Danio rerio: one gene and its partners. The protein of the gene in region 7 purifies or fractionates together with the protein of the main gene of each other region. This does not show direct contact. Links are inferred from orthologs where the notes say so. Each region holds a gene or a part of one and is shown on either strand. Other genes may lie near its edges.

What was found.
Region 1: the proteins of prpf8 (region 7) and crnkl1 fractionate together in Homo sapiens (co-fractionation; 3 studies listed by BioGRID, with this or other methods). This does not show direct contact. The link is inferred for Danio rerio from reciprocal best matches to the Homo sapiens genes PRPF8 and CRNKL1.
Region 2: the proteins of prpf8 (region 7) and zgc:103692 purify together in Homo sapiens (affinity purification with mass spectrometry; 4 studies listed by BioGRID and IntAct, with this or other methods). This does not show direct contact. The link is inferred for Danio rerio from reciprocal best matches to the Homo sapiens genes PRPF8 and C9orf78.
Region 3: the proteins of prpf8 (region 7) and sart3 purify together in Homo sapiens (affinity purification with mass spectrometry; 4 studies listed by BioGRID, with this or other methods). This does not show direct contact. The link is inferred for Danio rerio from reciprocal best matches to the Homo sapiens genes PRPF8 and SART3.
Region 4: the proteins of prpf8 (region 7) and ttc27 purify together in Homo sapiens (affinity purification with mass spectrometry; 3 studies listed by BioGRID and IntAct, with this or other methods). This does not show direct contact. The link is inferred for Danio rerio from reciprocal best matches to the Homo sapiens genes PRPF8 and TTC27.
Region 5: the proteins of prpf8 (region 7) and snrnp70 fractionate together in Homo sapiens (co-fractionation; 3 studies listed by BioGRID, with this or other methods). This does not show direct contact. The link is inferred for Danio rerio from reciprocal best matches to the Homo sapiens genes PRPF8 and SNRNP70.
Region 6: the proteins of prpf8 (region 7) and eftud2 purify together in Homo sapiens (affinity purification with mass spectrometry; 9 studies listed by BioGRID and IntAct, with this or other methods). This does not show direct contact. The link is inferred for Danio rerio from reciprocal best matches to the Homo sapiens genes PRPF8 and EFTUD2.

What each region holds. Positions count from the first base shown.
Region 1 is NC_133195.1:52,275,093-52,279,174, reverse strand, and holds the start of crnkl1 (crooked neck-like protein 1), read right to left. Parts: upstream 2,801-4,082; 5' UTR 2,750-2,800; coding exon 2,702-2,749; exon of another isoform or gene 2,246-2,701; coding exon 2,093-2,245; exon of another isoform or gene 1,389-2,092; intron 1,159-1,388; exon of another isoform or gene 1,127-1,158; intron 1-1,126. UniProt on the Homo sapiens protein: Involved in pre-mRNA splicing process. As a component of the minor spliceosome, involved in the splicing of U12-type introns in pre-mRNAs.
Region 2 is NC_133180.1:33,917,012-33,921,192, forward strand, and holds zgc:103692 (telomere length and silencing protein 1 homolog), read right to left. Parts: upstream 2,801-4,181; 5' UTR 2,716-2,800; coding exon 2,636-2,715; intron 2,450-2,635; coding exon 2,390-2,449; intron 2,274-2,389; coding exon 2,222-2,273; intron 2,100-2,221; coding exon 2,029-2,099; intron 1,948-2,028; coding exon 1,870-1,947; intron 1,777-1,869; coding exon 1,579-1,776; intron 1,460-1,578; coding exon 1,323-1,459; intron 563-1,322; coding exon 464-562; intron 369-463; coding exon 274-368; 3' UTR 123-273; downstream 1-122. UniProt on the Homo sapiens protein: Plays a role in pre-mRNA splicing by promoting usage of the upstream 3'-splice site at alternative NAGNAG splice sites; these are sites featuring alternative acceptor motifs separated by only a few nucleotides. May also modulate exon inclusion events.
Region 3 is NC_133180.1:21,195,851-21,199,350, reverse strand, and holds part of sart3 (squamous cell carcinoma antigen recognized by T-cells 3), read right to left. Parts: coding exon 3,477-3,500; intron 3,391-3,476; coding exon of another isoform or gene 3,381-3,390; coding exon 3,313-3,380; intron 3,232-3,312; coding exon 3,173-3,231; intron 3,055-3,172; coding exon 2,945-3,054; intron 1-2,944. UniProt on the Homo sapiens protein: U6 snRNP-binding protein that functions as a recycling factor of the splicing machinery. Promotes the initial reassembly of U4 and U6 snRNPs following their ejection from the spliceosome during its maturation.
Region 4 is NC_133192.1:24,158,036-24,161,535, reverse strand, and holds part of ttc27 (tetratricopeptide repeat protein 27), read right to left. Parts: intron 1,244-3,500; coding exon 1,079-1,243; intron 900-1,078; coding exon 760-899; intron 1-759.
Region 5 is NC_133178.1:30,714,563-30,718,710, reverse strand, and holds the start of snrnp70 (U1 small nuclear ribonucleoprotein 70 kDa), read right to left. Parts: upstream 2,801-4,148; 5' UTR 2,602-2,800; intron 2,088-2,601; 5' UTR 2,081-2,087; coding exon 1,934-2,080; intron 1,842-1,933; coding exon 1,779-1,841; intron 905-1,778; coding exon 850-904; intron 763-849; coding exon 698-762; intron 590-697; coding exon 527-589; intron 438-526; coding exon 356-437; intron 1-355. Other genes in the region: E3 ubiquitin-protein ligase RNF113A, read left to right, coding at 3,267-3,372, 3,517-3,593, 3,678-3,776, 3,972-4,079. UniProt on the Homo sapiens protein: Component of the spliceosomal U1 snRNP, which is essential for recognition of the pre-mRNA 5' splice-site and the subsequent assembly of the spliceosome. SNRNP70 binds to the loop I region of U1-snRNA.
Region 6 is NC_133178.1:15,069,821-15,073,320, forward strand, and holds part of eftud2 (116 kDa U5 small nuclear ribonucleoprotein component), read right to left. Parts: intron 2,419-3,500; coding exon 2,307-2,418; intron 2,221-2,306; coding exon 2,080-2,220; intron 1,229-2,079; coding exon 1,127-1,228; intron 1,029-1,126; coding exon 946-1,028; intron 43-945; coding exon 1-42. UniProt on the Homo sapiens protein: Required for pre-mRNA splicing as component of the spliceosome, including pre-catalytic, catalytic and post-catalytic spliceosomal complexes. Component of the U5 snRNP and the U4/U6-U5 tri-snRNP complex, a building block of the spliceosome.
Region 7 is NC_133190.1:30,754,849-30,758,821, forward strand, and holds the end of prpf8 (pre-mRNA-processing-splicing factor 8), read right to left. Parts: coding exon 3,791-3,973; intron 3,702-3,790; coding exon 3,573-3,701; intron 3,463-3,572; coding exon 3,349-3,462; intron 3,269-3,348; coding exon 3,095-3,268; intron 2,950-3,094; coding exon 2,756-2,949; intron 2,673-2,755; coding exon 2,433-2,672; intron 2,354-2,432; coding exon 2,212-2,353; intron 1,854-2,211; coding exon 1,713-1,853; intron 1,605-1,712; coding exon 1,465-1,604; intron 1,343-1,464; coding exon 1,140-1,342; intron 1,038-1,139; coding exon 883-1,037; 3' UTR 501-882; downstream 1-500. UniProt on the Homo sapiens protein: Plays a role in pre-mRNA splicing as core component of precatalytic, catalytic and postcatalytic spliceosomal complexes, both of the predominant U2-type spliceosome and the minor U12-type spliceosome.

The DNA of each region.
Region 1 (4,082 bases), on a different chromosome or scaffold from region 7:
TAACTTGCTTGTTGATTAAATCCTGTTTTGTTATTTAACCTATTATTTTTATGCAACAGTGAAGTTGCATGTTAATTTGCTATGAAGAAAAGGAAATAATTAATTTTCTTGCATGCTGATTTATGTGAAATCGTGAATATAGGTCTATATAACCACCTTGCAATTTTGAAATTATAGCTTTTTTGGTTTGAGTAGACTTTTCAGTTCATAAGAGCAGTTCAATCTTTTATTAAGTTTAAAAATATAACATTTTTAAACATTTATAATTATCGACCTATATATATCGACTATCAGCCTCCAAGTCTGAAGAGTTATTAGTTATCGATATACACTAAAAAACCCATATCGGTGCACCCCTAATTATATACCACTGACAGTGGCATTTTAACTTTAAGATATTAATATAATTTTATTCTTTTTGACACATAATATACTGATGACATATTTTCTGCAGATGCACTATGTATATGAAGCTTTTAAAGTATGTATCACAATAATACCATGTGTTATTGAGTTTAGTACATGTATACTAGGAGTTTTATAGAAACGAACATCAAATGCGAAACATCAAATTGACAAAACCTTTACACTGGTAACATCATGTTGTGACCAGATGTACCTTGTTGACATAGCATATTCAAAGCATGAACATTAGGGGTGCAAGATATTGAAAAATAAATCAAACATTGACATATTTTGTTTTTCTGTGATAAATAATGCAAAATGAATATAGGTCCATCAGATGCCTTAACTCTATTTGGGAAGTGTTTATTAATTCAGACTGATTGCAATAAAGGATTGAATCATGCATAAAAAAATAACAAAAAATTACAAGTATTGTTACTTTATGAATTTGTCAAACAGCAAACAGGTACAGGAATTGCAAAAAAATCAAATGTAAATAAAACACTGCATCTTCTTTATTGTAAAAATTATTTTAAAAATGTATCTTTATTAAAGGTACAAATGGTCTAATTTCTTGTGCCTGTGTAACAGGGTTAAAATAATGTTTAATTGTCTTTCACCAAAATGGGTTATTTTGTTTATTTTGTGGCTGTTGAGAGACCTCTTGTGGCAACAGTGTGTAATTGTTTCTTTCACCTTTCACCTGCAAAACCCCGCCTACAGCAGAAAATGGTTGCAGAATGCAGAAAGGCGGTAGGTAAAATGTGCTCCAGCTAAATGTGACAAATTTTGTATTTTAACACATATTAATAACACATACAAGCCCAATATGAACATTAAGTGATGTTTTAGATCAAATCTGTCGAGTGATTGCCGTGTGTGACAAACTTTGTGTGGTTTAATTTGCTCATGCTAGGTGTAGCTGGAATGATGACATTAATATGTGCAAGGGTGATTTCTTACTATTTGTTTGGTTTTTTTAGATGCATGTTTAAATGCATACTGTTGCCAGATGATGTATATTTCTGTTACAGGTATGTTAACCTTTTGTAAATAAATAATGTTTTGTTAAAATGACTTTGTGGCAACACAGCAGAAAATGGTTGCTGAATGCAGAAAGGCGATGCATGTTTAAATGCATACTGTTGCCAGAGGATGTATATTTCTGTTACAGAATAAACAACGCAGAACGCAGTTCTCTGTGTCCGCCTGAGTGATTTGCGTCTTCAGGAAGAGAAGCGTTACACCTGGATGCTTTATACGTTCTTGAAATGTTCATACAGCGGCAGTCCATAAAACACAGGCAGACTTCCACTTTATATACATATATAAACTGTCTTCTGGTCAACTATAAACCCAACAAGACATTGCATATCCTCTGAGTTTTCTGAATATGCACTGTGATAATGCCCATGTTTTCTAGAGGTTTACCATAATAAAATAATACATTTAAACCATAGCGATATCATCTTTTATAATCTACACACCATATCAATACCATATTTTCTGAACATCATGATAGCACTGCGCACATTCTATAAGCAATTGTGACACTACTGTATATTTTTGAGGCATATGCCATGACAGAACCAAGCTTTCAGTACATGCACAGTAATTTAGTACTACTTTATGACATATGCATATAGTGACACCATGGTATACTACATGGTGATACAACATTTCATACCTTTCTCTTTTTCAGTTTGTAGTCATTGAGCTCTTCTTTATCGGTGATCTTCTGTTTGGGTGGCGGTGGCAGCAGCTCGAGCTCTCTCTCTTTGGCCTCTCTGAGCAGCTGCTCGGCGGTGATCTGCACCTCTGCAGGGGCTTTATTCTTCACCTGAACACAAACACAAAACCATTACAAAACAAGACAATCTTTAACCCATCTGGTTATAGTTCTATACATTATACAGTTGTTATTTTCAGAGTGGCACAAGTTCACGTTGTTTACAAGCTAATGCTAACTCACAGCTTTATTCTTCACATGAGCATTAATACAAAACCATTACAAAGCAAGACAACCTTTAACTCAACTGATTACATGTATACACATTATACATCAGTTAACTAATTATAAAGTAACGTTAGCAGAACTACATGTTGTTTACATGCTAATGCTAACTTACAGGGGTTTATTCTTCACCTGAACACAAACACAAATACATTATAAAAAAATAAGCTTAACTCCACTAACCACATTTATATACAGTAGTTAATTATTAAGTAACGTCAGCACGACTTCACGTTGTTTACATGCTAATGCTAACTCACAAAAACATCATATAGGTTTTACCTTCGCCACTTTCGGGATTCTCTGTTTGCCCGCCGCGGTGGACGCCATGATTATTACGCTCCTGACACTTTATTAAAAATAAATTAGACGTATGTTCTTGTGTTTTAGATTTCGAAAGCCCGCTAAAACCTGTAAGGTTAGCGACGTTTCAGTGCCGTGTGTGTCGCGCCTGCCGTGACGCGCTGTGACCTTTGCCTGCATCTACGTCACGGAGCATCTCACCATGGTGACAGGACGCTTGCTAGCGGTTAACGTTATCAATAAATAAAAGGTCAGCAGTTTGAGGCTGTTAAAACTCAGTTTTTTATTGTTATACACCAAAAATACCTGTTTAATTGTTTTATGTTGCTTGTGTATCGACTTTTTGTCAATGTAAGTGAATGCTTGTTGTTTTAAAATATTTTTGCCTATTATTGGCTAGTGACTGAGTTCAAAACTCAACATTTTACATTAATAACGTTAACTTACCTCAATTAAATACCTTAAACGTTTGTTATTTATTTGTTTACTGTTAGATCTGTTTATTGTTAAACCGAATTTTCTTCAATGTGTGTGAATGTTTATTTGTTTTTATAAAGGTTAGTGACGAGGCTCAAAGTAAAGTTACATGTAACGTTATGTTATTTAACTTTATTCGCTCACTGTTAGATTTTTTTATAGTCCGACCTATCTTTAATGTAAGTGAATGTCCATTTTTATTAATTTGTTAATTATGTATTGCTTGTTATTGTGTATGAAATAACCGTAAAGAGTTGTTATTTATTTGTTTACCAAAATAAGTCTGTGCGTGCACACAGACGAAAAACATATAACGTACAATTGAAGTCAGAATTATTAGCCCCCTTTGATTTTTTTTCTTTTTTAAATATTTCCCAAATGATGTTTAACAGAGCAAGGAAATTTTCACATTATGTCTGATAATATTTTGTCTTCTGGAAAAAGTCTTATTTGTTTTATTTTGGCTAGAATAAAAGCAGTTTTTATAAAATAAATAAAAAAATAAAATAAAATTTAAGGTCAATATTATTAGCCCCATGAAGCTATATTTTTGTCTACAGATCATTACACAATAACTTGCCTAATTACCCTGACCTGCCTAGTTAACCTAATTAACCTAATTAAGTCTTTAAATGTCACTTTAAGCTGTATAGTAGTATCTTGAAAATTATCTAATAAAATATTATTTACCTGTCATCATGATTAATTAAATAAATCAGTTATTAGAAATGAGTTAGCAAAAACTATTATGTTTAGAAATGTGTTGAAAAGAAATCTGCTCTCCGTTAAACAGAAATTAGGGAAAAAATAAACAAGGGGGCTAATAATTCAACTGACTTCAACTGTATATTACGTCTACAGTTGTGCTCGAATGTTTACATAC
Region 2 (4,181 bases), on a different chromosome or scaffold from region 7:
GATTGAGCATTTATGTGGAACTGTTCTACAATCATTATATAATTATGAAATTGAACAATGCGCTAAATTTATGCAACTAAAAGTTTTTCTGTTATAAAATATTTTCAAAAAACTACCAACAATTTGGGTGAAGTTTTATTGTAAAAAGCTTATCGTAAGTTACAGATATTTAGCAGAGACATTTTTTTAAATATAGTACAAAGTATTTACATCTTTCAGTTTACAGAAAGGAAAAACAAACTCCATCATGGTAACTGAATTATTAGTGAAGGATTAATATCGTCGGTTCATTTTCTTAAATTTCTCATAGTGGTAGTCATCTGTGGCCTTCTCGTTATTGGGTCTCTTGCGGAAATTGGGTGGTGAGGCTGGAGACCGAAAAAAATACACCAAATCATATGAACATGAATACATTAAAAACAGCAGGGCATAAAAGCTGAAGAGGTTTTCAATCTGATCTTACCCTCAGGTGCTGGTTTCTCTGTGTCTCCTACACGCAATGGCCTGGCTTTAGGCTCTTCTCTGTTGCGTCTTTGGGGCGCGTTTGAATCCTCATGGTAGACTTGACAAAATAGAACAGATGATGACTTAATCTTTCTTCTTTGGGATAGCAAATGTTTTAAATATGGTTCACATTTTACTGTTTACTTATTTGTTAGGCATAGACAGAGCTGTTGATAAAAGCTTACACTTGAAAACAGATATGGTTAGTGAACAATTTTGAGAAATCAATCATTGGCCTTTTCTTTGTACAGTTTTGTTACAAAATGTATTTTAAGTAAATGCTCTGCTTTTGAAATTTACATTAATTTCCGTTTTTTTTAATATTGAAAGATAAATGTGTAAATTAGGCACCAAATCATCGTATTAGAAAGAATTGTGAAGAACTGGACTAATGTTTGCTGAACAATTCAGCTTTACAATGAACAATTTACAACATTTTTTTATAATCTTAAAAACCTGATTATGAAAAAAAGAAAATGAGTGCAATTACAGACTGCAAAAATATTTCACAAGATTACATTTTTAAAGGGATACTTCTACTCAAAAGTTTTTTAATTCTGCCATCATTTAAATCAGCCTTCACTTGTTCAAAACCAAAACACAAAGAAGCCATTGACGATGATGGATTCCAGCAATCAGTTTTCTTCAAAACATCTTCTTTTGGGTTCAACAAAAGAAAGAAACTAATAACTGTTTAAAACCACATGAAGGAGAACAAATGAAAAAAAATGAACTATCCCTTAAATGTGAGCATAAGAGACTTAAAAACATCTTACTGACAAACGTTTGAACAAACAGTTGTTTGTGTGTACACTTACAGCGATTATGCTGGACGTAATTGACCGCAATGTTTGTGGGAACAAAGGAGGTCCCGCTGTCTTTCTTCTTATTCCTCTGCTCAGCTAGCAGCTTTGCTTTGGCTTCTTCTGTGTTGATGATATTCTTTATCTTTGCGCTGAGAAGAAAGAGAGAAAAGAGGCTTTTAGGTTGACATCAATCATTTGTTTGTTCTGAGCCACCAGTCTAGAGAAAACAATAACTGATGTCCATGAATTAGCTTGTGTCTTTACTCACTCAATCCCCAGATCCACCTCTGGAATTCCGCTCAGCATCTGATTGGACAACATCTCTTCTGTCTTTTTGGCAGAGCTGACGTTGATGTTCTCTGGAAGCTCATACAGGAGGTCCTCTGGATTCTTCACCTTTACCTTCTGCTCCTCTGCCTCCACCATGCCTTTCTTTTTCTTTAACTCTGTCTCAATGTACTTCATCCTGCGTGAAATGAGATGCATGATGGGAGAGGCTTTAAACATAGTGACAAAACCAGCAATGCAGAGAGTATGTGATGTAGAAGCATGCACTTACATGTCAGCATCTTCATCTCTTCTGTTTGTCTCGGCAGAAAAGGATGTACCAAGATTGAGGTCATTTTCATCCACTGTCCTGTAACAAAAGAGGAAGTGTCAAGATGCAAATATAGAGACATCTTGAAATGAAAAGCTAACATGTTTACTTAATTCTTACATGTCTCTGCTTCTGTCTTTCACTTTCTTCATGTCAACAACACCTCCAGTCTTCAGTTTAAATGGGTCATCCTATGACATAAACATGGAGGGACAAAATGTCAAACCTCTATTAGCTCATAGAGAAGAACAAAGTTACACTGCAAGGCTTGTATTGTAGTGCAAAATGTAGTTTGATTAAAATAATAAAACACCTCAAGCTCAGCCTCTAAAGGAAGCTTCTCTCCAACAAGTAACGTTGCAATGCTGGACAAACAGAATGGAAAATAGCATTTATTATTCTCACTTTAATTACACAATGAAAAGAAAGAAAAATGTAAACACCACCAACAGTAACAACCACAAAGCAGCTCATGACCAACCTCACTCCATGCTGCCTTTTTCGCAGACTCTGTAGCTCCTTGGCTTCATCCAGTTTTGACCTGGGTAAACATATAATAAAAGTAACATCTTTAAATAGTTTTTCACATTCAATAGGTTTCTGTCCTCTCTGAATGCATGTACAAACTAAACAAGTCAGCTGCATTAATCTTTTCTGCTCGTTTTACCAAGCGGTTTACAACAGCTGTGTTTACTTTGTTTGGCCTGAATGTGTTGAATATATCTACCTGACTACGAATTTTGTTTCATCATCTTCCTCGTCGGATGAATCCTCTTTCCTTCTTCTAAAATTTTTACCTGGTGGCATGACTTGTTTTTAAAACTCGTCGAATTATTTACTGATAAGCGTTACGTTACCCCTCGTCCGTCTGTACGCAACGGTGGCGGTCTATGTTTAGTGACGGACCTCATTCTCTAGAAACTTCCGCTCGCTGGCATCACATTTGTCGTCTTAACAGTTGATCTCAGATCAGCTTGCCTGTTTTTTGTACAGCCGTTGAACGGCGAAAAGCGGAATGATGAGACTGGTTCTAGATCAGCTGCTTCTATGACACGATACAGAAAAACAAAACAAAAACGGCGTAAATTTAATAATAAACACTCTATACGATAAATGAACGTGTAAAACAAGCAGTATGTGTATTTTATAATCGAAGTAAATAAAAAATTATTTGATCATGCTAAAGAACGAAATGCGCTCATTGGCTGTGGTCAAAGCCGTGACGCACGCTTCTGCTGTATTCAGTATGGATGCTGCTTAGTAGTAACGTTACACTGCTTCCCACCACTGTTACAAACACCTCCGATTGGCCTAAAATGACTATCTATGAGCGATATTTTTGTTTCTGTATGACAGGTAAATATCTGTTTCTGTCTTTCCTTTTGCTAAATCGGACTGTCACTGTTGTTTGATATGATAACATCATGTCGACTCAGCGTATGAATAGTGTCTTGCAGACCGAGTGGAAATATGGCCTGTTTATTCTGCAAGATCGTGATGTTAAACAGCTTTTAGGTGGTTCACCGTGACGTATTTGAGGACTGCTGTGTGTTTATGAACATAATAAACACCGAAGACGAAGAGGAAAAACTATTTGTTTTGTTTTAGATATTATGTTTTAATTCAGATGAATTGTTTGCATTACATTCATATTAACGCGATTGTTTTCTGCGTCGTTTCGGACTTCAGTTGAAGTTAGTTTTCTAGTGAAAATTTGATTCATAGAATCATGTTTTTTTATATCAATTATTGTATATTTCCCTTGCTGTAATGGAGGTGTTGGTACGGGACGAATGTTTTTTTTTCCCATCAACTGACTAGGCGAATGAAACAGCAATTTTGGCCTCTTAACAGTTCTAGGCAGAAACATAACACACATTGAGCAGATATGCTAGATAGATACCATCCTCAATACTCTATAAATATTTTTAAATTTTTATACTTATAAAAAAAATATTATATAATATGGTATATATTTCCGTTAATATCTATTCAATGAGGGCAGATTTTTATTTATAATTCTCACTGGTAATGAGAGTGTAAGGTTCTTATGGGGACAGTTTATCAAATAATTTTGTCATCATTTCATATTAATGAAAGTTTATGGTTTCTGACTTTTTGATTTTTGTTAATTTTGGAGAAAGATTTTTAAAAATCAATGTTATTTACTGTATTGGTGCTGCGCAGTCTCAGAGCTGTACCAGACATTCTTAAAGGGTTTGTTTACCCCAGAAATAAAATAAAAAGAAAGGATTATTATTCAACCTCATGTT
Region 3 (3,500 bases), on a different chromosome or scaffold from region 7:
TTTAGGTATTTTTGCTGTACTGAAGTGGCTCTCACACTTTTTACTTACAAAAACAATGTTCTGTACCAAAAAACAGACAAATTAAGAGAACTGATGAGGTTTAATTATTGATTTCTATTTGAAACTTTACATGAAAATTACGTTGTTTTTAATATCTCGACAATACAAAATATCAAACTTTTAGGTCATCATAACTCCCTTGTAAATTTGCTGTTAAAAAATACTGTTGTAACAAATTTAGTTATACAGTGGAATCCACAATTCTGAGACCATTCATGAAAACGATCCAATGTACAGTTGAAGCCAGAATTATTAGCCCCCCTGAATTATTAGCACTCGTTTATTTTTTCTCAAATTTTTGTTTAATGGAGGGAAGATTTTTTCAACACATTTTTAAGCATAATAGTTTTAAAAACATATTTCTAATAACTGATTTATTTTATATTTGCCAAGATGACAGTAAATATTTTACTTGATATTTTTCAAGACACTTCTATACAGCTTAAAGTCACATTTAAAGGCTTAACTAGGTTGATAAGGTGAACTAGGCAGGTTAAGGTAATTAAGCAAGTTTTTCTATAACGATGGTTTGTTCTGTAGACTATCGAAAAAAAATTAGCTTAAAGGGGCTAATAATTTTGTCCCAAAAATGATTTTTTAAAAATTAAAAACTCCTTTTATTCTAACCGAAATAAAACAAATAAGACTTTCTCCAGAAGAAAAAACATTATCAGACATACTGTGAAAATTTCCTTGCTCTGTTAAACATAATTTGGGAAATATTTAAAAATAATTCAAAGGGGGGCTAATAATAACTACTAATACTAATAACTTCAACTGTAATTCAATACCAACTGGCTTTTTTTTTTTTTTTTTTGCTCTTTCTCTTAAATTATCATTTGAAAATATTCTATTATTTGTATTTCATCTCTTCTTTTTAATCTCAGCAGCACGCAGGACAGAACTAATCCAAATCCAACACTGTGCGCTTCTCTATACTGTTGACCCCCATAAATCCATAAAATTGTGTATTGATAACAGAATATTTAAGATAATAAAATTTCTGCAAACTAAATATTCAGATTTTAGAAAAATACTATGAACTCATGATTTTGTCTAGATTAACTTTTGCTGAATAATCCAGCAACCTTTTTTATAAAATGCAATTGTCATAGACTGTCAGATCAGATGTTATTAAATAAGCTCTTTATAATGAAAAAGCGGTTTAATTTTTTTAATGCAGTGCTTACCTCACATAGACTTTACTTGGGCGGGCTGCCCAGGTATATTAACGGCCACCCAAGTATATTTTGTGGTGACAAATAAACAATAGCTGCGTCCCAAATGGTACACTATACACTATGCACTCATGCACTATGTACTTATGCACTTACACACTCAACAGGATAGTATATGTATGTAGTGGCGTCCCAAATGGAGCACTAATGTTTTTTTACTAAGCGGAAATTCAAACCGTTTCCCTGATGACGTTTCACGGTTGCCAAATCAGTGAAATAAACGACCGAATTATCAAATATTACCTGCCGTGAGTGTTGCCGCATTCACCATCGGGAGGCACTATAATCACTCTCGTAGAAGAATTTAGTTCTCACCGTCCAAAATAAATAAAGTTATTCAACATGTGCGTGCGATAGCTCCGCCTCTTCCGCTACGTAAGCAAACCTGCGGTCGTTGAGTGCGTGAAGTGTCCATCATTACACACTTCATTTTAGCGGCTGAATGAGTGCATCATCCGGGAAATTAAAGTGCACTTATTATTTTTATAGTTTTCAGTGTGAACACACTACTTGCACTATTTATACTACAAAATGGCGTAGAATAGTGCATAAGTATGCGATTTGGGACGCAGCTAATAGTATTATCATCATTCTTTTACACTTTTTTTGCATCCAAGAAAGCCACAAACATTCCCGATCATCATTCATCGATTTACTAGTGGAAAATCTCTCATCTGACCGTAGTTTGAATCTTTTAAAATGTCCAGGATTCGGGTTTTACTTTTGCTTTCTAAAGTTGTTGTTATTTGAATGCGTTTTGCATAATCTTTTCACTGCTGACTGCACACGAACAGTTGCGAGAGGAACATTAAATAATTTATCATTAATAAACGACTCTGATGGACTTAACTATATACTCGGACAGAACAAAATATACTAATTGTAAAATATTTGTACATCATTAGAAATGGCTCATCAACTAGTTTGCCTAATTAAAATAATCTACACTAGTTATTCTAGTACTTAATTCCATTTAAAGCAATAATGTCTATTTTTATTCCTTTTTCTTTTATTTATTGCTGTATATTTTCTTAATTTAATGATGTTAATAAATTACATACTTTTTTACATAGGGCCATCTAAAATCCTTTGGCAATACTGTAAACGTCATGCCAATAAAGGAACTTTAGAGATATATATATATATATATATATATATATAATGTTTTTTTTTGTATATTTATTGTATATATACAAATAAATACATAGAAAAAATGACATTATTTTTGTTTGTTGCATGTAGTTCACCAGTTATGTGCTGTGCTTAAAAGGTGTGTTTCAATCCAGCTACCTCTGCAAGTATATTTCAAACCTACGGGAAGAACTGAAATAGGGTTGTGCCGATAGACGATGCCATCGTCCATCGCCGATGGCCGACAAACTTCACAATGCTCAGCCGGCATCGCGATCCATCGCCCCCCTCCACATTTATATTGATATATAACTTATTATTTTCATGTCATCTTAATAGCAATAACAGTCTTTCAAGAGCTGTGTTAAATGTTGCATATAGCTGCTGCTTGCACAGCTGACAGCATCGTGGGGATTAAATGAAGGATTATACAGCACCTCTCGTGCTTAAAATGTGTAGATTCAGTGGTATTTTTTTTAACTGGTATCAAACATCCATCAGTCTGCGTGACTGACCTTTCCAGGTTGTAATATTCCAGCCACATGTTGGCGTACTTCGCATTCCCCTTTGTCATGATGCTATCCCACAGCTCTCGAGCCTTCTGCATGTTCTTGCAGTGTAAGGCCTGTTTGGAGCAAACACACACACAAGCAGCTCTGTAATAACTGTGGACAGACTGTAATCAGCAGAATGACATTAGTTAATGGAGGACGGACAGATGCCTCAGTATAACATTTCCTCACCTCTATCCTCGCCCAGATCTGCATTAGCGTGCAGGACAGATCTCCACTTTCACTGAACCCTGAGAAGAAGCGAGACCGTAATTAAAATATGCCTAAGACAGCTGTGCTTAACACCTCTTCAAAACAGACAAGACACTTACTCTCTTCTACGTCCTGTTTCAGGTATTCAAGGGAGCGCGAGAAAGCTGCCCGCAGCTCGTCCAACTCCCTGCTCCACTCTGCAATGAACATCAATAATCAACTACTTAATTTACTCAGATCTAATCATCAGTTGAGCAAAGCTTGTAACAGAACAGAAAAGCACATGCTCTTGCCTTTACTGAAGTCA
Region 4 (3,500 bases), on a different chromosome or scaffold from region 7:
TTGTTCTCGGTGATCTTTATACTGGGCAGCTGCGCAAAATATATTCTAAATAGTCAAGCAGGAATTTATCTGTAGCTTGTTGGTTTATTATTAAGGCAAAAAAAATTAAAATAACAAAAATAAAATGATAAAAATACAAAGATAGAAAATCAGCATTTTGCAAAAATATAATAGTCCTTTTTAGCTTCATTTCCTGCTATATATGTGTTGCTTCACATTTGTTTTTTATTTCAATTGCTGCATTCGTTATTTGATGTTTGAATACTGAAACAAATAACAGCCATTGGTTAAAGGGTTATATTTTACCATCAAAATTTTGTATATTTTATATCATTATCAACTTTTTATATAAAACCGCAGCGTAATTTAATTGATTGTTAAAAATGAAATGATTTAAGTGCTATATTTTTATTATTAGAGAAAGTGCCCTATTTCTGCCACTATAAATACACTATTATAGTAACCTTATCATTGTTTAATTTTCTTGTTATGTTCAGAGATTTTAAATATATTATTTATTTCCCCTCCAATGATTTTCAATTATCACGTTACATTTTGGTCATTTTCATTCATTCATTCATTTTCTTGTCGGCTTAGTCCCTTTATTAATCTGGGCTCACCACAGCGGAATGAACCGCCAACTTATCCAGCAAGTTTTTACGCAGCGGATGCCCTTCCAGCCGCAACCCATCTCTGGGAAACATCCACACACACATTTTAATTGTATATAATTAAAATTAGTTTTAACTCTCTGTGTACCTTTGGTAGGAGCTCTTTAGGTGTTGGTGTACTGGAGGGACTCTCTGAGTTGTAAAAGGGCGAGTTGTCCTTTCGCTTTACATCTAAGATGAGCTGAGCCAAAAAGTTCTCCTGAAAACGAGTTCGCTTCCCTAGAGCACCTGAGAGAAAAATCAGAAAATTATTTAATCCTTAATGCATTACATCAGTGTTTCCTCATTCGCACTGCAGGGTAATACATCCCTCATTCATTCATTGCATATGTCAATTACTTTCGCTATGAACCACCATTTATCCATCAGCAAAGTACAATCATTTTTCTTCAAGTTATACTGCCTACCTGTCATGTTAACATCGAGTCCTGACAGATCACGAGCCGTCTGCAGATGTTCTTTGGCCTTGTGATACTCATAGTAGGTCAGGCAGATATAACTGCACTCCAGGTGGAACTGAATGGCCAGGTTTCTGTGTGCATTACTGCTGAACAGCTCGTCACATTTACACACTAGAGAAACAGAGGAGGGAGCAGTGTTTAGAAGGCAGCATTTACAATTCAACATTCACATAAAATGGTCATAGAATGCATAGCACGTCTTTGAATGTAGAATAATTCTGACTTCCACATGGTTGCACTGTAAAGAAATAAACATATCTATCGCCTATATCTGTTTCTAGGATATGACTGGATTGAATTCCCACGGAGAAACTGCTTGGGAGAAGGAATGGAGAATGAGGAAAAAGGAAGACCAATGGAGGAATAATGAAGGAAGGATGGGAGAAAGGTTAAATAAACGAAGAACAATGTAAAAGGGTGGGGAGAGATGGAAGAATATGGAAGAGAAACTAAGAAGGAAAAGAAAGAGAGAAGGGAGGAAACATGAAGAAAGAAATCCAGGAAGGAAGAATGATGAACAAAGTCAAGGAAAAGAAAAAAAAAAGATAGATGGAAAAAAAGGTTAGAGGACGAAAACTAAGACTGAACAACAAACGGAAAGAACAAATGAGGGGAAAAAGGCAGAAAACAAATCAAGTAAAAAAAAATAAATAAATAAATATATATATACATACATATATACATGCATATATACACACAGTTGAAGTGAGAATTTTTTTCTTTTTTTAAATATTTTACAAAGGATGTTTAACAGAGCAAGACATTTTTACAGTATGTCTGATAATTTGTTTTATTGTGGCTAGAATAAAAATAAATATTTTTAAAAACAAAATTTTTAGCCCCTTTAAGCTATATTTTTTCTTGATAATATACAGAACAAACCATAATTATACAATAACTTGCAAAATTACTCTAACCTGCCTAGTTAACTTAATTAACCCAGTTAAGCCTTTAAATGTCACTTTAAGCTGTATGGAAGTGTCTTGAAAAATATCTAGTCAAATTTTTTTTTTACAGTCATCATGGTAAAGATAAAAGAAAACAGTTATTAGAGATGAGTTATTAAAACTATTATGTTTAGAAATGTGTTGAAAAAAAAATCTTCTCTCCATTTAACAGAAATTGGGTAAAAACTAAACAAGCGGTCTAATAATTCAGGGGGGCTAATAATTTTGACTTCAACTGTGTGTGTGTGTGTGTGTGTGTGTGTGTGTGCGCGCGCGTGTGTTCGCGTGTGTGTGTGTGCGCGTGTGTGTGTGTGTGTGTGTGTGTGTGTGTGTGTGTGTATATATATATATATATATATATATATATATATATATATATATATATATATATATATATATTAGGGATGTAACGGTATTGTAAATACCGTCATACCACAATATTCATTTTTTTCGATATTACCGTAGTCGCATGACTCGGTAAAACTATAGGTCTTCTGAGAAAATTTGCTCAGGCGAATGAAGCGAACGGGAGGTAGCGGAAACTACAATTCCCATCAGCCCTTGCGGTCTGTTGTCGCTACAGATACAGTAATGCGGAAATGGAGTGTGCTGCTAGAAGCGGGCATCAAAAAGAGCTGGAAATGATCGAACCTGAAGCGGGTGTTGTCGCCGCACGCGTACTGAATAGCGGTGTTGTCGCGTGCGTTCTGATCAGCTGTGTTGTCGCGCGCATACTGAATAGCGGTGTTGTTGGGCGCGTTCTGATCAGCTGTGTTGTCGCGCGCCTACTGAAGGGCGGGACAGAGGGTGTGACACAGCACACTGTTCAGATTGATACAGACATGAGACCTCTATCTATCTCATGGCTTGCCTTGTCCTCTCAAGTGGGGAAAAGACAATGCACAACGTTAACCACTGCTGTCAACCTGGGCCAAGTCATATCTCTCTGTCCCAGAAACCTCAGTCCCAAATGAGAGGGGTTTTTTCTGTTGCAGGGGACATTGTAAATGCCCAGAGATAACAGCTTTTACCAGATTATATTTATATGATAATTTTCCTTAAAACCCATCTCTATCTAAGTGAGTGAGTGATTAAATGTTGAATGTGATGAGTTTTCAACAATACTAAATTGAAACTTTATTTTTTTACATGGTTTAATAATTTTTTGTTATTAAAATTGAAGTTCCTGTTTCAAAGCTTACAGATAGATGACTAATTTGTATGTCATTGACACTTTTGGCACTTTTTTGGAGTATTTTCATAAGTTTTGTTTTTTCCTGTAAATGATTCAATAAATACCGTACCGTGACATTGATACCGAGGTATTACCGTATCATGAAATTCTGATACCGTTACATCCCTAATATATATATATATATATATATATATATATAGAGAGAGAGAGAGAGAGAGAGAGAGAG
Region 5 (4,148 bases), on a different chromosome or scaffold from region 7:
TGCAGAGATAAAATAGAGTACAACCAAAATACGAAGACTTCAGATGCAAAAGGTATGCCTTCTGAAAGTGTATTCTAAAATGAGCATTTCAGATATTTTATTTAAGGGAACGAAAAGAATCTATTGTTTGACAATAGTGAAATTCCTCAACCACTGTGCTTCAAAAAATGCTCAATTTATAAATATATCAGATGCAATTAAGAGCTTTTTGCATCTGACTCTTCCTTTGGTGTTTAATAAGGGGTTTTGATAAGACTTAAATGCCTCTTATTGGAAATACAAAAACCATTGGTGCAACCTTGCTTTGGGGTCATTTAAGGGGCTGAAGGCAGAATAAGATATGTTGGTTACTTACAGTGCATGTCTCTCTCGTGCTCGTATTCAATGAACGCATAGCCTCTTGGTTTTCCAGTTTTCTTGTTGTACACAATGTAGATCTAATAATAGCAGATACATACAAGAATAAGACAGTGGAAACAAACTGACCCAAGATTAATATGCATAATACACGTTCAGCACAATTTACCCGTTTGATAGGACCATAGACCTCAAACTCTCGCCGCAGTTTGGATTCTGTGGTATCATAATTCTGCATAAATAGAATAAAACATGTAAGATTTGTCTTCAAGAAACAACCTCTACACATTTAGATTTTTGTCAGCCGACAAGCTTATGCTTGAGACCAAAAAATACTCACAATTCGAGCCACAAACAGGGTCTTAAACGCATCTCCTTGGGCATTAGCGTCATTATGTGGGTCCCCTGTGGAGATACAGGTCATAAGGTTAATATAGAACATTTTAATGACTTTATTTACAACTGTAAAGCCTTTATTTTAAAGACACTTACATAATTTCAGCTCTCCTTCAACCACAACTTGCCTCCTCTCCATTTTTTCTCTTCTCTGGATTTGAAATGAACAAATAACCAAGTAGTTAGTTACCATAATTTTACATTAAATACTGTACAAATGTAAATAATTGGATAACATTCTTATTATTGGTCATTTATTGCATCATATTACTGGATTAATAGAGCATGTGACATTTACACAAAAGCTTCTGCAATGCATATCTTACTATTGCTGACTGCTATCAAGTTCCTTCATCGATTTTTCAGAATTTGATTATGGTGCGTTGACAAATGATTTCTAAAAACTTAGGGCTATGCAACATATTTCAGCATTATCAAGTGTTCATAGCTGTCAAGACTCAACGGTCCAGAACACAAGGGATTTGTGAATGAATTGCCAAGTTTCAACAATAGAGTGAAAGTTAATCGTGTGCACATTAAATGTAAATTATTTCATCCTCCAGTGGAAACGCATTCCTTTTTTTGTTGAACTCAAAAGAAACATACCAAAAAATGGTCACGATTAACATCCATTGCAGTGAAAAAAAATATATATACATACACCAAGGAATCAATGGCATGTGGTTTCTAATATTCTCCAAAACATTAATACTTTTGTGTTGGACAGATGACACAAAATATAACCGGTTTAAAACAAGTGGAGGCAGAGTAAATATTCTAACTTTTTTTGCTTCAATTAAAAAAAACATTTTGTTAGCAGTGGTCTCAAGCAAAGTTTGGGACAAGGATGACCTATGGTTAAACTCAATGTGACATGTATCAACAAGCTTTTCAAACACGTCTTGTCTGTACTTATATGCCCACTAAAACTACTGAGTGCAGCTCTGTCAATCTAAAAGCAATTCAGCAGGAGAAAACATTAGTAAACTCCCCACAGAGAGTCTATTCAGACAAGTCTCGCTCACCTTCCTCTCCAGTCTCTCCTCCCGTGTCTCTGCTCTTGTGGGTGGAGGGGCATCTCTGGGGTCCTAATAAACAGCAGAAAAAACAGTTATACATCAATGTAACAAAGAAATCGATAAATAAACCGTTCTACATAAAATAACAAGTCAAAAAGCACCTCAAAATGCCGGATAAAAGGAGCAATTCCGCAGTAGGGCTGGTTGTGGTGTTTCTCGTGAGGAAGCTTTCCCAGTTGAGGCAGGAACGGTATGGGGTCCCGCGGGGCAAACAATGCCAACAGGTTCGGCGGAAGAAACTGAGTCATTGTTCACCTGGAAGAGAGAAAAAACACAAACGATAAAAAAAATAATCAACAATTAGGAGCACCTCATGCAAGTTAAGCAGTTACTGTGTGAAAATGGTAAATAAGACGTTATTTAAGATAAGGTGGATTTAAATAAGCAGACAAAATCATGCTAACAGATTCAAACTGAAAATTCAGCGTCTTCACATAGATCTGGATCAGTAAACAAACACCCCTTAAACGAGTCTCGTGAAGTTAGCTGCTAGCAGTCTTAGCTTTCTCGGTTAGCTTCGTGCAAACAAACACTTTTATTCTCCACATAATGATTAAACAAACTACAACTTCAGCATCAGATCACGTTAGTGTAGCATCAACAAAAAGAGACGCATCTAATAACTAATATCAGTGCACTCTTTAATACACAAAAATAAAGCAAAGCTCAGTCGTGGTTACGGTCAGCTCTGCTAATTCACCAACTCTCTCATGATGATCATATCCGAGATCGCCTACATTTCCACGGACGGCCTCCTGCAGTCAATTACCTCAGTTTTTCATTCGGCTCCAACGAAATCTCCGATTTTCGGGCCAAAATCCTCTTGCGTGTTTCTGTGGAAGACCTTCGTGCATGAATTTCTTTAATTCACTCGGTATTTTTGTGTGTATTTCGGTCCACACAATACCCAACGTGTGTTCTCACCCAGTTGAACGAGTCGTTCCTTTCTTAAAATGGCGCGAGGCCGTAAACCGCTGCGGTGTTTCACGACACATTTACGTCTAGTGGTACATTCACGATAGGGGCGTGGCCAGTGTGGAATTTGTACTGTAAAATATTATTTATTGTTATACAGTGTCACAAAACTTATGCTATGTTGATGTACGTATCCACAGTATCCTAACTAGACTTTACCTTTATAATGGGAAAAAATTCACTCTAAATCATAATTTTACTTTAAGTACACCATAAAATACCTTAAAACGTCTTTATCCTTAATTTTGCTCAATGCATGCATCCAAATATTGTCTGAATATTGCTAGTTACTGATTAATAATAATAGTAAAGATATGTACATTATCAATTGTTAAATGGGAATATATTCATATCAAATACAACAGCAGTAAACCATTCCCATTCTACGTTTCTTCCCAAACACAAGAGGCGCTGTAACCAAAAAATGACTTCATCGTTTGTTTTTATACGTAGTTAAAGATGGCGGAGTCCGAGGAGCCGAAAAAACCCACCTGCACATTTATTTTTAAGAAATCAAACAAGAAATTTTCCGCACGGAAAAGAAATGCAAGTGACAGCGACAAAGGTACGTTGTGCTTCTTTCTTCAGTGTCTCAATCGACAGCGAGTTTGACTTGAGAAACTATAATCCCTACAACAAGCCGTCTGTTTAATTAATGTTTATGCTCAATACATGTCTGCAGTTCAGTGTTTTGTTTCTTTATCATCAGAAAAAAGCAGCGGCGATGAGGGCAGTGCAGTGGTCAGAAAGAAGAAATCTGCCGCTGTGAACCCCATGATTCAGAAAGTATGTCCGTATTTCATGTGTTTTATGTAACTAGCCGCTGTTAAACTGATGTCATCATTATTATATTTATTATTCGTTTTATAGACGAAGAAAGTGGAGAGGGAAGCTGTCTCATCGAGTGAAAGTGAAGAAGAGAAGGAAGAAAAGAGCGTGACTGTCGCTTACAAGTCCACTCGCTCAGCGGTGAGTCTGACTGACCCAACATTTGTACAGCTTCATGATTTATGCTACAGCAAATTATGAATATAAACGCTTGATGGTGCCTAATAATTCATGACCACGTATGACTTTACATTTCTATTAACGTCTGACAGTTTTTGCGCTGTCTCATTGAAACATTAAAGGCTGTAATTGAGTGTATTTGACTATGTGTTGCAGAAACCAGAGGGGCCGGATGACATGGGGGCCACTGCTGTCTATGAGCTGGACACAGAGAGGGACAAAGATGCTCAGGCCATCTTTGAGCGCAGTCAGAAAATCCAAGAGGTATGCGGGTGATTGGAAATAACTGGCTGCATCATTGTAAAGTCAGGTTTATGTATGTTATGTACAGAT
Region 6 (3,500 bases), on a different chromosome or scaffold from region 7:
AGACCCTTCTCCAATGGCTCAGCAATCATGGTGATTTTATTCCTGCAAAACACACACAGACACTGCTTTGTGAAGCTTTAAAACAGTTGCAAACTGTTGATTTCAGCAAATAAAGACTGTTTCCAATTTAATTGGCTTTTCAAGTGAGTGGCGTCAATCATTTGAACCAAGGGCTGTAGTTTTTAACTTGTTTTTGGGTTGGTTTTATAGATTTATAAATGTATAATCATATACTTGTGGAATTACAGAGACTAATAATAATTATAGCCACTAGTCCTGTTTACGTAATACCGCCATTAAACAAATGAGCCATAAAAATCAAAAGATTATTATAAAGATACTTTGTATTGACGTTATTTTATGATTTGTTAATTTTATTTGATATATTTCACTTTCAAAGCATGTAATTTGTAAAAGCTTGTGGTGTTTTTAGTGCTTTGAAACAGTGAATAATTTTGTAAAGCAATTGGTTCAGCTGATTCAGAGCTTCAAATATGACTCTGGATGACAAAACCTAATGTTGCATGGGAATATTTTTGGCCAATAGACAGAAATACACTGTATGGGTCAATAAGTTTTTTTTACTATTGTCTTTAATGCCAAAAATCATTTGAATATTAAATAAAAATTAGTTCCATAAAAAATATTTGGTAAATTTCCTACTGTAAATAAATCAAAACTTAAAGTGAGATTGCTAAATATTCATATACACAGTTATCTGCAAACTGCTCAGTATTTAGATTTATTTTTAAACCATTGCTTTCCAGATTTTCAAAAGTTCAAACTCTGACAAACATTGCTCTATCCTAACAATTATTCATACACCTTTCAATTGATGTACAAATCTCAGTTAAAAAAAAGGTCACTTGTGTAATTTTATTTGAAGGTTTTCCTTCCAGTCAATACTAAATCAGAATGCTGAAATAAAGGAAGCTTGTTTCTCACTTTTTATTGGGCGTTTCAGCAAAACACTTCAAAGAAGAAGTTTCCACGACAGTCTCACAAAAGGTCACCACAGGATCAGCTACCTATAGGGAGAAAACAAAGAGAGAAAAAATCACATAAAAGGAAAAAGAAATACATGCAGAAATGAGGACCGTAAAACTATTAAAGCAAAAAAGAGCACCTTGATATCAATTTCAGAGTACATTTTCCGCAGGTCGTGCATTACACAGTCCAGATACAGCTCACCTGTGCCAAGAATCACGTGTTCACCTGACTCCTCCACCTAAACACACATTCATAACAAACAAATAAAGAAAAAAAACATTCAGTTATGCATTTAACTACACTAACAAAGTACTAATACAATACGTTATTGTCAGACTTACATCTGTAATTTTTCTTGCATAAGAGCATGTTAAATACTCCGTAAAAATGGACAAATACTAATACAGTGGTCCCTGGCTATAACGCGGTTCACTTTCGTGGTCTCGCAGTTTCGCGGATAATTTTTCAAGCAATTTGACATGCTTTTTTTTTTTAAAGTGCATAGTGTTCTGCGTTCTGATTGGCTGTAGATCACTGTCAATCAATCTCCTAAGTGCCGAGACTCCTGTACAGTACAGAATGCATTCAGCTTGCCAAATTTACATGAATCTTTGATCACTAGCAGTGTGACGCTGAAGTGCTGGACTGTCTGTTTACAAGTTTTCTCCCCAACAAACGTCGGGGAGTCGCAGAAATATGTCGCAGAAATTTTCCGCACTGTTGGACTTCTGAACATGCTATGGCAGAAGTTATGTGGCTGCATGACGCCTTTTACATAAAGAAGGAAGGAAATAACATAAGGACGACAGCAGCAATGAGATTTCAACAAAGATACAACCCCTTTTAAAAACTGTTTGCAACAGGGCCATGGTAAAGATGGAGTCTGCTTTAGTTTTGTGGATCAGTGACTGCAGGAAAAACGTCGATGTTTATCTGAGAAAATTGCATAAAGTGTGTAGTGAGGGTTTTTACAGCCTTAAACATCTATAATAATTGTAAAAAAATAAAGCAAACTACTTTGTAGCATTTGATTTGACCATAACAGAAATACAGCTTTTAAACAATACCGGCAGCAAAAGAGCGTGTTACCTTTGTTGTGAGTGAAGGATAACTTTTGTTAACTTTTCGGAGTCCATCCAACATCTTGGGCAATTCTGAAGGATTGACAGGCTCCACAGCAATTTTTATAACTGATGCGGTGTTAAACTTGAGTGGCCTGAAGATCTGTGCCTGCTCGCAACAACATAAAGCACAGTGAGTTTTAAAAGCCTTATTAATGAAGACTGCTGTTTCAAATGCACGTCTCTGTTTCCCACCTCTTCATTTCCACGGGGCTCTGTGATTGTGGCTGTTTTAACAATCGGCTGGTCACAGCCCTCAATTAACACCCAGTTACCAGCAGGGACTCGATTCACTTCAATCTGATACCTTTAACAACATAACAAATATAACATTTACAAAAACCACACAGACTGAAAAACTGGTGTCGAGAAAATATCACATATAATCACAGAAGAAATGGCAAGAAACAGTCTGAATGAAACATTTTCAGAATGAAAGCAGTTTTTTTTTTTTCAACACTAGTTTGTTTCAGTGCATTTTGAAAAAAGTATTTTTGTATGGCATTTAAAGAGCGGTTTCCAACAAGGCAGCTTGGGGAAAACCTAAAAGGGCTTCAATACCATAATATCCACTTAAACAATGACCATCAAAATGGTTTTTGATGGCACAATAAATCCCTGACAGATGAGTCTTTTATGACAGTACACTTTACTTTAACAAAATACATGTTTTAAAGATGGACATATTTTATTGTTGTCCTCTTAAAGAGGCAGTTCTTCCCAAAATAAATAGTAAACTTACCATTTACTCACATTCAACTTCCAAACTTCTAGTAAACACAAAAGAATATATTTTGAAGAATGTTCAAAACATGGAACCAGTTGGTAAAACAAATACTATGGAAGTCAATGGTTACAGGTTTCCAAAATGTTTCACAATATTGTCTTCTTAACAGACGAAAGAAACTCAAACATGTTTGTGGCAAGTGAAGGGTGAGTAAATGACGACAGAATTGTAATTTTGGAGTAAACTATTGCTTTAACCCTTTATATGAATACACTTACATTTGTAATTACTAACATTTAACTACATGCCATTATCCAGTGTCAGAAATCTTTTTTTTTTTTAATCCAAAATATTTCACAGCATTTTGAATTGGCAACTTTGTGCAGATTCATAACTGCACAATAGTGTTTTGATTGATACTTGCACGTGTATTTTAAATTAGCCAAAGAAAGTACTGCAATAATGTTTAACAGGACTCCTCATTTAACAACTCTTCAAAAAATCCTAATTTTTAAAGTTTATTTCTAGACTCAAATGTCTAAATATTATATAATTTGTGGAATACTTAAAAAATGTCTTTAAATCTAGATATTCCAAGCTATAAAACAGTTTATTGGACAGAAATTGATAATGATGACTATTTCCTTTTTCAGTAAATGGAG
Region 7 (3,973 bases):
ACAGCACCAAGGCGTGGGCTTGTAGGGGCATGATGCGAGCCGATCCGCAAATCACAGCACATGTTAGCTGACCGATCAGAGCCTTTTGAGGGCGGGCCTTTCAGAGGAACTAGGAAATATGACTGTCATTTTCATGTTAGCTGCCTTGCTGTATATAATCAAAGTAAGATATAAAAAAATAACATGACTTTCTACAAATGAAGCATGAGCACACATTGCTTTGCATCTTTTACAACACAACCAAGCCTTAAAAATACACAGTAGACCACCCCTTTAAATTATTTTTTTCCACCAAACTTGAGTACTGTTATTTTATCAGTTAATATTACATTTAAATGTTAACACATTTTGCCATATTAAGTTGAGTGCTGAGCTGTTCAGTGTACTGTAACAAATGCATGCAGATTGGTTTCCTCTGAAAGCATAGTGTCCTTGCACTTTAGATAATAAAGCTACTGTTAATTTAGTAAACAAACCAATAATTTACTCTACGAAACAAACCAGAGCTTATAAAAGTTGTAATCTTTATTTAAACCCAAACTACAGTGTACATAACAGATGCACAACATAGCTACAGGGAAAAGACAAATTATTCCGGATTTATAAAAAACACAATGTACTACAAACAACTCCGAAAAAGGGTACAGATATTTTTAGACAAAAAAGTCATTCATCTCACAACAACAGACAAAGCACAATGTGCTTTCAGACTTGTGCATAATCAAGTCAATGACAAGCAATTAATGATAAAGCAAAAAACAGATGACATGCTTCGAGTTTCCAAGCATTTACATTACTGCTAACAGTATAGAGGGACAAAACAGAACCAAAGCATTGCTTTAGCCTGTGGGTGCTTTTACTTTAAATAGTCTCTGTTTGTACTTATGCATACATATCCTCACGGTCAGCATTGTAGATTTCACCCTCCTGCAGAGAAGCAAAATTGAGGAAGTGAGACGGTCTGTGGACTTCATGGTAGAACTCTTTCGGATTGGCCAACTGCAGGTCATACTTCATGTTGGGATCATGGCGGACACCTAAAACAAGAAAAGAGAAATTAGCAAAAGTGCACTGTGGTATCTGCAATTTACAAACGTGTATCACTTCAATATATATCATAAAAATGAATCTATGCTCACCCATGAAGTTGTAGTTCCAGGAGACTTGGCCAGGCACCATGAAGAAGCCAAGGAAACGGTCAGACAAAAGCATCTGAACCCTTTCATAGTGTGAAGGCAAGTAACCTTTGGGGTTATTACCCTTATCTGTGTTTTGTCGACCCCACTCATATCCACTGGGAGTCAGCTTGTAGGCCGTCAGTGTGCAGGAACCAGGGGTGAAGCTAGACAAGCAAAACCAATAGGTTTAAGTCTCACATGCAATACTATATTATATGTAATGCAGTACATTATAAATTGGAAGTTAGGAACACAGCCACATTGTGTTAATGTGTTTAATCTATACCTGCAAGTGATAATGATAGTCTTTTCGCCATCCCAGGATGGGTTGTCAGCCATGACCTTTGCATGGGTGGTGACATCCTGAGGAGAGAGCTGGGGCGATTCATTGGGCTGTGTATGGATCCATCCAAGAGGCTCCATTTCCTATAAAAGAAAAAGGGCAGCATTTGAAAAGGCTGGGAGGACACAGACTGCTGATAACACCAAATTAGATGTGCAAATACAACAAATGTGCATGTGTAAATTCCTGACCTTCAAGTACTCGTGTTGTGGCAGTTGGTTGGGAAGGTGAACGGTCTGATGTGTACCCCACTGTGGCACCATCACAATACAGCGGATCTCCTTCACCTGAGGGTTATCTGGAGGGCTGGTTCCATACAGGTAACCTGCAATCTGCAAGGGGGGAAATATACAAGCACAAATAATGCAAGAAAGGTAGTGGAAAACCAATTTTTTTATTTAATTTCAAATAATTATTTAAAAAAAAAAAGGCAGATTATCAAGTTATGATGCAGAAATAGACGCTTTTCAATATTACACATAAAATTATATATTAAAATAGTGTTAGTCTCATGAATTGCCATACTTTGAACTAAAGAAACTTTCTCCTCCAAGTCTAATTTGTTTTACTCATAAAATTTTTTCAAGACTCCCACAGATCATATACTGTTTAAATCTGATATCATGACAGCCCTGAAATGATTCTAAGCAAAAATAAGAGAAGACATTTTAATTAGACTGTTAATCTAACCTGAGCACGCAGATCTGAGATGCAGATGAACTTCTTCAGAACGTTCTTGGGCAGGATGTAAGTGTAGCCCGTTTCTTTGATGTCATCCGATGACACATAGATGTGGTTGGTACGCAAGTGCAAGTTTGCAGCAGAGATCGCCCTGTGAGATGAAGAAAACGGTTTAACAGCGAACTTTAGCTGTGCTTTAATGACCAAAAAGACAAGAAACATTTCCGTACCTTACTCTCCATTCAGTTTTGGAAGAGAAGGTCTGCGTCTCGTAGTTGCTGGTGGTGGAGGTGATGATCTCATCTCCGTGTTTGTTGACTGTGCGAGTCTGAGTGGCCGTAAGCTGAGACTGCTCTTTGGTCTGCTTCTCAATCTCAGCGATCTGCTGTCTCTGCTGGGATGGAGCAGAGATTTCCATTCCCAGGATGATGTCCCTGATTTCAGACTGAGTCAAAGATGCCACATTCACACTGTGGAGAAGATTGAGAATTTACAATCTTGAACATCCCAAAGTATATATTTTTGAATGCACTTGGAAATCTGTATTTCTTACTTGTTCTTCTTGCCATAGTCAGCCAGGATGAGATCTTTGAGCTGCACCTCCACTTTGATCCACTCCTCATCCGTCAGAGTGGGCCAGATGTGGTGGGGCTCGGTAATGGTGGTCTTGTCAGGTTTCAGAATAACTTTGGCACGATCATTGTTGACATGAAGCGCTCTCAGGATCAAAATCAAACGAGAGAATGCCTAGGCAACAAAAACAGATTTTAGTTTTAGACATCGTAGCATAAGTGGTGGAACTCTCAGAAACAACAAAATTTTGCTTCAATGATTATTTAATTTAATGAATAGCTTATATTTATTAAGTTTATAGAATAAAAGCTGGATTTACAGTGTAAGAGGAGATGGTCTTCAGCCAGTCGTCATACAGATTGAACAGGACCATCTGAGGCTCTGTGGCCTTCAGAATGAGGTCTCCAAACTTCTCCACTTTCAAACAGGCCTGGAAGGGGAGCTGGAGCTCAGAGCCTTTGATTACAATGTTGGGGAAGTCCAGCAAGTGCACCTGGAGAAAACAGATAGTTGTTAACCTAAGAGTTAAGAGCTTCAACACTCGTTTTGGTTGCTAAAGGTTAAGTGCCTAACCTCAAGAGGATCCAACATGCCCTTCCTGGTCACAATAATCTGTTTGGGCTGCTCTTCAACAGGCAGCGATCGGATCAGGGCAGCCACTTCTTCAGCAGTCTTCCACTTAGCCAACTACAAAGGCAGAACCAGTAACCAGTCGGATAAGTAAAAAAAAGTACAAAAAAATAATAATAAAAAAATAAAAAACAACTGTGTAAACAAAATACGAGTGATAAACAGACCTGTCCAAGACGCTTTTGTCCAGCCCATACAGAAGTGTGAATGATCTTCAAGAAAAGCTGTCCAGTTCTGGGGTTGAAGATGAAAATGGCTCCATTGATGGGTTTGGTGGTCAAGTTACCTTCAAAGGTCTGAAACAGGATAAAATTGACATTTTACCACACAACCCAAGGTCAAAACAATCAAAACAACAAGGAACATCTTTAAAATGTTGACTTGCCTTGTGGATGGTGACTCTGTACACATTGGTGTCATCTACAAACCAGATGATCTGGTTTGAGAAGAGCTCTCCATAGTTCTGGGAGGACAGGTAAGGCTCAGTGGGCTCTGAAGAGTAGAGTTGCAGACCCTTGCGGATTCGCTCTCTTAACACATACAGAGCCGGATTGGCCTTCATTATCTT